2 linked regions of the Cricetulus griseus genome follow. The protein of the gene in region 1 interacts with the protein of each later gene in a biochemical or structural test. Links are inferred from orthologs where the notes say so. Each region holds a gene or a part of one and is shown on either strand. Other genes may lie near its edges.

What was found. The genes of interacting proteins can lie anywhere in the genome.
Region 2: the proteins of Pdzd2 (region 1) and Ctnnd2 form a complex in vitro, tested with the Homo sapiens proteins (2 studies listed by BioGRID and IntAct, with this or other methods). The link is inferred for Cricetulus griseus from reciprocal best matches to the Homo sapiens genes PDZD2 and CTNND2.

The regions. Positions count from the first base shown.
Region 1 is NC_048595.1:345,575,850-345,580,086, forward strand, and holds the start of Pdzd2 (PDZ domain-containing protein 2), read right to left. Parts: upstream 2,849-4,237; 5' UTR 1,345-2,848; intron 1-1,344.
Region 2 is NC_048595.1:360,552,722-360,556,833, reverse strand, and holds the start of Ctnnd2 (catenin delta-2), read right to left. Parts: upstream 2,873-4,112; coding exon 2,741-2,872; intron 1-2,740. UniProt on the Homo sapiens protein: Has a critical role in neuronal development, particularly in the formation and/or maintenance of dendritic spines and synapses. Involved in the regulation of Wnt signaling.

The DNA.
Region 1 (4,237 bases):
ACTCTATAGGTTAGGCTGGCTTCAACTCAGAGATCTCTGTCTCCTGCATGGTGATTAAAGGCATGTATCACCACCACCTGGCTAATTCATTTCTATACAACCCAACAGAGCCCCCTTCTACTGAATGTCACCCCAATGTCCCACAGCTGATCCGAGAGCCAGTGTAGGTATGACGGCAGATCTGAGAATCTTGCATCTTAACTTTACAATTCACCTACATCGTGAGTTTAGAATTATAAACAGTTACAGCACTGAATTTTATAAATTATGTTCCCTATCATATTCAACTTGATCCATTTTGTGCAAAGAAAATGTTTATATTCTTAGAAACAGTCTCTCTGGGGCTGGGGAGATGGCTCAGTGGTTAAGATCATTGGTTGCGCTTTAGTTCAATACCAAGCAACCAAATAGTGGTTCACAACCACCTGTGATGGGATCGGATTCCCTCTTCCAGTGTGCATAAAGACAGAGCACTCATATACATAAAAGACATAAACAAACCTTTTTAAAAAGAACCTTCTCTCTGAAGATGACAGTTTCCCCCTCCTTTGCTCATCACTCGAAGTCACTTCACTCTTAGTGCTTCTAAACTGGGTACTTCAACAGGACTACGCAATTAAAAACCTGACATCTTCAGCCATAAATAGTCACTACTATACTATCTATAATCCAGCATCAGAGGCTTTGGTACAGGAATCTCTACTAGTCTGAAGCCAGCCTGGGCTATATACAGAGGGAGGCACTGTCTCAATAAAGGCAGACAAATACCCAAAACAACAGCAATAAAGTGCTATCCTCTTTCCAAGGATCCCCCCCCCAAAAAAAAAATCTTTTAACTTCTGGGTAGTCCAATCACAACAGTCTGCACATCATTGAACAGGGCTATTGTCCAAGCACACTGCTTAGTAATTTGGGGCAAAGATCTGTCCCCCAGAGAAGATGACAGCCTTGTGTGTGGAAACATCCACACAGTTCCCTCTGGGAGAGGGAACAGCTTTGCTCTACCAAAGGTAATTAGAAGCTAACCAAAAGCCAGGAGAAAGGTCCAAGGACAGTAGGACTGACCCCTAGACTGTTTCAACTGCAACACACACACCACACTGACCACACACACACACCCTCCTTACATCGTCGTTATTGACAAACCAGTTCCAAATCGCTCCTCCCAATGAACACAAACCATCCAGGCAAGCAAACCCCCAATACAAAGTCACAATCCAGACAGGTGGCCACTCATTCTGGGAGGCTGTGGATAAATTCCCACATTGACGAATCCAGCCTCACTGTGCACCTCAATCTGGATCAGATCGCAAGGCCTGGGCTTTCTCCCCGTTAGATTCTTACCTCCAGTTTCCAAGTCACTTCTGGAAGTTTTCTCTCAGACCTCTTTCCTCAGCAGATCCAGGAACCTTGGGGGCAGCCAGCTGGCCTCCGTGTAATCCGATGGGGCTCAGCTGAGCAAGCTCCAGAGACCCGTCATTAGCCCCAGCACCTGCTGGCAGCCCCGGGCACCGGGCAGGGAGGGGCGAGGCAGGCTTCGCGGGGACGCTACCTTCCCCAGGTCCCCCGGGCTGTCCCCGTGGTCTCGAGGCTTTGCTCCTGCAGGATGTCGCCAACGCTCCTCCCGGCGGGCTACGAATGTGTGGGGAGGACCTCTCCCTGGCTCGGCGGGCGGAGGGGGTTATAAAAAGGCTGTAACGCAATCCTAGTCTGACTCCTCACTTGTCAAAACTCCATGGCATTTCAGAGTCCTTTCCCCTTCACCCTCCTCTCTGCAGGGAAAAGGAAACTGCCCCGAGGGTTGCGTGGAGTTTGGGGTTTCTCTTTCAGACACTTTTGTTTACATCTAGTGCACGGGAGCTTCCTGCGGTGAACTGGGAAAAAAACACTCCCCTACTCCCCCGGCACCCAGATACCCCTAACCTGGCCGCAGCGCTCCTATACTCTAAAGAAGCTACACACCTCCAAACATCATTTCATGACCACTATGCTTCACCATCAGCAGAAGCCTGGCTTCTTGTTGGGGCGGGGGAGCCCCCAACTAAAATCACAACTATCCTACCAGGCGGGATGTCAGGGAACTTTCCAGAAACTCCAAGTCAGATTCCTTCTGCTGGAATAACCAAACTCACCACCCCTGAATTACAATCGCCAGTGACTGCACAGCTAAAGCATTTCCTTTATACCTTCTCCGCTCGCCTGCCCCTCCCACCTTCTCCGGGCTCAGTCAACAAGTCATCCCCGAGAGAGGCCCGTATGGGCTTGGGCGGCGCAGCCATCTCTCCAGCTGCAAACTGATGAGGAAGCCCGACCCAGGAGCCCAACTTGTTTATGTCACACCCACCGAAGGCTTCCTGTGTTAAATTAATGAGAATGTAAGAACGGCTTCGGAAAACAATGTTTGCTTTTCTTTAAGTAGGAGAGAAGGCTGAGGGGAGCCTCCACCCCGTCATTCCATTGCTTTTCAAAACTCCAATTGTATTTTATTCTGAGTTTCCATTCCTAACACTTGTTGAAACGTAAAAGCACTGCTGTGCCAAACCTCAAACCATTAAGAACTTCTGCTGAAACAAAACACATTTCACCTGGCTCTAGAGGGCTCCAACTTGGTGCTCCCAGAGAGTTGAGGTAGGGATAGAGAGAGCTCCTGAGGTTAAATGAAGGAATGTCAGCACAAACAAGCTCACTTGCAGCCCTGTGCCTCCTCCTGGGACTTGCACAGACAGGCACACACCCTCCCAGCTCCTAGGTTTATATTGGAATCTTGCACGGTTCCACTTCATCCGCGTCTTCAAGCTATCAGTCTCTGCCGGGACATCCGGCAGCGCCTGAAAGTAAATGAGCTTTGCAACGGACAAATCTTTTGGAATTCGAAGCAATTAATTACAATGGAGGAAGTCAGAGAAGGCTGCAGTTCCCAGTACCATTACTGCCACTGGAATGGGTAATTAGAGCCTAGGAGAGGCCAGCCCATGTCAAGCCAGGGTTGGAAATCTGCCCACTCCCAGGAGCTGCCCTGGAGCACACGGTAAATAATCGCCACAATTACCAGCCCTCTGATTACCCCCAGTCGCCTCATTCAGACCAGCACAAGAGAAACCGGAAAGAGGCAGGAATGCCAGGCTGCGGCATTCCTTCTTTGACAGTTTATCTCAAAATGGAGTTCCTGTAGCCAACACCACCTGGTGGAGGTCCCAGGAACAGGGTGTGTGTCGGGGAGGCTAGCTTTGCTGGCCAGTTCCTCAAAAGTCATGATTTCAGAAAAGGCTGCTGCATCTCCCCTCTTTACAGAAAAGCATTTTGTTTCCAGTCAATAAAACTTTTTAAACGTTTTCCATTTGCAACTCCTTTTAGCCTGAGAAACTGTTACACAACCTTGGATATGTAAGTGTATAAGTTAGACAAACCAACTAAACATGTGCTGATAAGAACGCATAAAGAAATTGATTTAAAACACTTCTTCGGTATACATGTAATTTTATCATTTATTAAAGATGAGAGCAAATTGACATGATGAGATGCTGGTTTATTTTTTACTAAATTATTTTACCAAATTATTATTATTATTACTAAATTTTGGGTGAAAATCTGCTATTTCAGGACATGGGTGTCCTCAGAATTTTCCAAAGTTGACAGATATTTTATAATCATCAGCTGAGAATGCTGCTTCACACCAGGCAGGCAAGGTGATCCACACCTTTAATCCCAGCACTGGGGAAGCAGAGGCAGGTGGATTTCTGTGAGCTTGGGACCAGCTTAGTCTACATAGTGAGTTCTAAGCCAGTCAAAGCTATATAGTGGGACCCTGACTTTAAAAAACAAAACAAAAAATGTATAAGATGGCAGAAGTAAGTTTAGAACCATTTCAGAAGCTGTTAGAAATTCTGCCCTAATTCCAAGTCCCTATTCATTTAATGATTAGTATAAAACTCAATTTAGCAATGTAAACAGGTTTTAAGATCGAACATTCTAGTAGAATGCAATCCAAAGATAAATTAATTGGATGCCTATATTCTAAGAAATGATTGTAGGAAATTTTTGTCTGCTTTCTATAATTGAACCATTACATTTCTAGACAAGCAGGAAGCTTTGTGTATTCAAAACACCGCAGTTCATAACAAATAGTCTGAGGGGAGGTGCTTCAGCAGAGTCTGCACTGTGTGTGTCATCACGCCACACAGTGACAAGTGCCCATGTTGTCATGTATGATCTGAGCCAAGAATGAGGCCTGGGGAGA
Region 2 (4,112 bases), about 15 Mb from region 1:
GCCCTCAGCACCATTGCCTTATATCAACTATCTTTCCATACTGTTTCAAATATGCTTATTTTTTCATGTTTATGGCTATAGTATTCCCTTGGGCATGTTTTTCTATATATTGCAAGGCAGTAACTTTAATTTTATTTAAGATGTTGATTCACACAGGCATCATTTAAATGTCCCTCTCTAAGAAACTGAAATACTAACTGGAGAGGAATTAGGACCAGGCTCACATCTGAATCTATGCTAAGCCCTTCGTTATGTCCTACAGAGATTAAGTCTTTCTAGTTCCATCCACTTTATACTGCTGTGGTAACTATGTTTGGTGAAGACGATTCTATCCTTCTTTGAACCTTCAAATACTCGTACATCCATAAGATCTTAAAAGTTACTGTTGGTCTACGAGTAGATGGCACTGGCAGACGGGTGACTCAGGTTACAACTGCCTAAACTTGGGCAGGGTATGTGACTCAGTAGAGTGCTTCTGTAGCCTTCAAGAAACCCTGGATTGAATCCTCAGAAACTCATACACCAAGCATGTTTGTACACACTTGTAACTGTAGCCCTTGTAAAGCAGAGGCAGGGGAATCAGAAATTCAAAGTCAATTTCTTTAGTTAAATAATGAGTTCAATCTCAGACTGGGTTACAGGAGACTATCTCAAAATGACAACTACACAACTGTTTAGCTTTACTTATCCCTTTCAGAGATGGCAATGAGGTGATAACCTGAAATTTCTCTACACAGGACCTTGAGTGGCATGCCTTTTCATACATTGTAAGCTACACGACTGAGTCCCACAATAAAACACTGTATTTGTCATTAGACATATCTTGCTCTTTTAAATTTTCACCTTGCATTTTATATTTTATCACCCAACTAAAGTCGGTGTCTCACAAAGACTTCCAGATCAAATCCAAAGACACTAGGCTAGCTCAACTATGGTGAGGAAGTACCTTGAGTTCCTGGACTGGCATGAACCCCTGCTCCTGCTCTTCCTTAGAATGATCAGAAAACTCAAGAGTGGGATTTTCACTAGCAAACTCATGGAACAGCTCCTACCTAACATTTTCCCATTCTATTATATCAAATCAATCGACTCAGCTCTCCCTGTAGACCTATTCAACCGCATAGTTCCTGAAGTGGGGCTGGGGGAGGGGCACATCTGACAGTATCATTGATCTTTCTTGCCAATGGCATCTCCTTTGGCCTCACTGATAGACTGACATGTAGGAGGCATCCTATACTTATCCATTCAGCGGCCCCCTTTCCTAAACCTTATCCGCTTCCTCTGCAACCTTTCATTTTGTTTATGGAGCAGTGAATATTCATAGTCGCCCCACCTTTGAGCTGTGCTCTGCCACAATGTTTCTGCTGTTACTTGTGTCACTTTCCCACAATGCTTTTTTTGTTTGGTTTGGTTTGGTTTGGTTTTTCGAGACATGGTTTCTCTGTGTAGCTTTGGAGCCTATCCTGGCACTCGCTCTGGAGAGCGGGCTGGCCTCGAACTCACGGCGATCCGCCTGCCTCTGCCTCCTGAGTGCTGGGATTAAAGACGTGTGCCGCCAATGCCCACACATTGTGGCTTTCCCACAATGCTTTTGCTAAACCAGCATCATGGAATAAAACAACTCAAACTCAATGGAAAGCTGAATGAGGCCTGAAGAAACTAGGGTGTGAAGGAGCAGAGAGATAGAGCTCCGGGCAACAAAATATAATCGAACAGAAGAATCTGTCTCATGTTCTACGGCATCACAGCACAATGAAAATCTGCAAAAATTTACTGTTTACTTCAAAATAACTAGAAGAAAGCAGCCTGAATTTATTTCACTAGTAGAAATGCTTATTACCCCATCTACAGATTATATAGGTTAGGTTTCAAGTTATAATACTGCATTTTCTAAACAAATGCCAAAGTTACATGTCAATTACATTTTTTAAATGAAGAATCCTGCTTTATTCCCTAGAATATGCTCAAAAAAAAAAACTATGAGTCTCCATCCAAATTTCTGTAATCATTTGCCATCCTTGATTTACAAGAAACATAGCTTTTGTGGAACTTTTTAAATCTTCAACTTAAATTTTTTTAAAGTAATCTATTTTTATAGTGATGTCATATCTGAGAAGTCAATCAGATTTTGATGACTTTGACAGGGAAAGTTGTAGAATTTTTCCTGTATTGTAATTAACATGTTTTATATGATGATTTCTACTGATTTTCCTTAAACTCTCAAGTATTTATATTTCCACACAATCTTTAATATACAGTGTGATCCACCAAAAAAACTTCCCCGCCAAAAAAAATGAATAGCCATAAAAAAAAAAAACACCAGGAAGGGTGTTTTCCTTTCACCTCCTGAGATGCTTAATTATTATCAACATAGTCTTAAATTTTAGCTTTGCATATAATTGTTGACAGTTTATTAGACACCATTTCCGTATACCAACTATTTGAACCTGAAACCAGCAATAACAATAAATATTAACATATAGTCCAAAAATTCAACTCCATGAAAGTGTTCTTCTCCATATGGAATATGTTGGACTATGTTTTTAAGAAAAGCTGCCTAGATCACAAAGCTGTCTAAGTAATAGCATGAAGTCAAAAACAATTTTAACCATATTTTAGTATTATTTATCTAATAAATACTAACATGATATTATTCTCAAACAATGTAACCATCGATGTTCACCCAAAGAAGCAATTTTCACATACACCCATTAATAAGACACAAATGAAATGCTTCTACCTGTTCTTTGACGGAGGCAAGGATGGCAGAGGTGGTCTCTGTCTCAGAGCCGTCCCCATTGGAGGTGTTTAAGCCTGGACTCAAGGAGCTGGTCTTCTCTGAAGCTGAAGGAGGCTGGTCTGGGACAGGCATAGCTCCTGCAACACAAAAGGACAAGTTCAGACCAGCCAGACATAATCGTAAACAGACACAGCTATGGGGAATACAGTTGGGGGCATGAAAGTTACAAGCTGTCCCAACAAGTATGGTATAATTCCATAACAAGGATAAGAGTAAAGTTAAACAAAATGTCACTCTATATCAACCCCAACCACATCTGAGACAGCATGGGCACAACTCTGTTGTATTTTATCTTGCATGTGGGACAATAAATTATGATAAGGTAGAACAGAGATATTAAGGATGAAAAAAGGAATAAAAACATTGAGTCTAAGGATCTAGTTTATCTAGAGGTTGATATCTGATTTACACAAATGCATGACTCTTTTCTACTGGTATGTTTTCAAGATAATACATTACACATCCCCCTTTATAGGAAAACTAACACAATATAAATTATTATCCATAGCTAAAGGGATGCCAAAAAGAAGCTGGTTGGTCTTGTGAAATACAGAAATAGTTAAGTTCATACCCTGGCAGAGAGCAGACAAAACCTCTTTAAAACCTTCAGGGATCTTTTTGTTCAGTTGATTTTTGTCTGAGTTTAAGAAAGAAATCAGAAACTCAACTCACATTAGCACCAATGAAAAATGGACACACTGGTGCAGGCTAAACAATAGGACTCAACAAAGTTATTTTAGTTCCATTATACTGATCAAATTCACAGAGAATCAAAGTTTAATGGCATGAGGTGGTGGGCCTTTGGTGACTGACTGGGCTATTTAGTAAAAAGCTCTCATGAGTGTGTTGATGCTATGATAAAATGGCCCAGAAGGTCTCCTCCCTCTTCCACCATATGAAAATATTGTGAAAAGTATTATCTATGAACCAGGACATAGGCCCTCACCAGACACTGACTCTGGTGTGCCTTGAACTTGGGCTTCTTGATTCTCTTTAACTCTGAGAAATTATGATGATGATGGCGGTAGTGGTAATGATGATGGTGGTGATGATATATATTTTTGTGCATGTATGGATTTTAACAGGGCTGAGGACTGACCCTTTGCACAGCAGGCAAGCACTCCATCACTGGCAGTGTGAATGGTTTAACACAAAGACTGCTCTGCCAGGTGCATGTCTCCTCTAGCAAGGATCATTAACACAGAAAGCATTAGAAAACTAAGAAAGTTTTCCACATCATCCTAGTAAAAGGTTAAGGATGAATAAAAGTTATTTTCATACCCTCACAACAGTATTACCTGTCCCTCTGGGA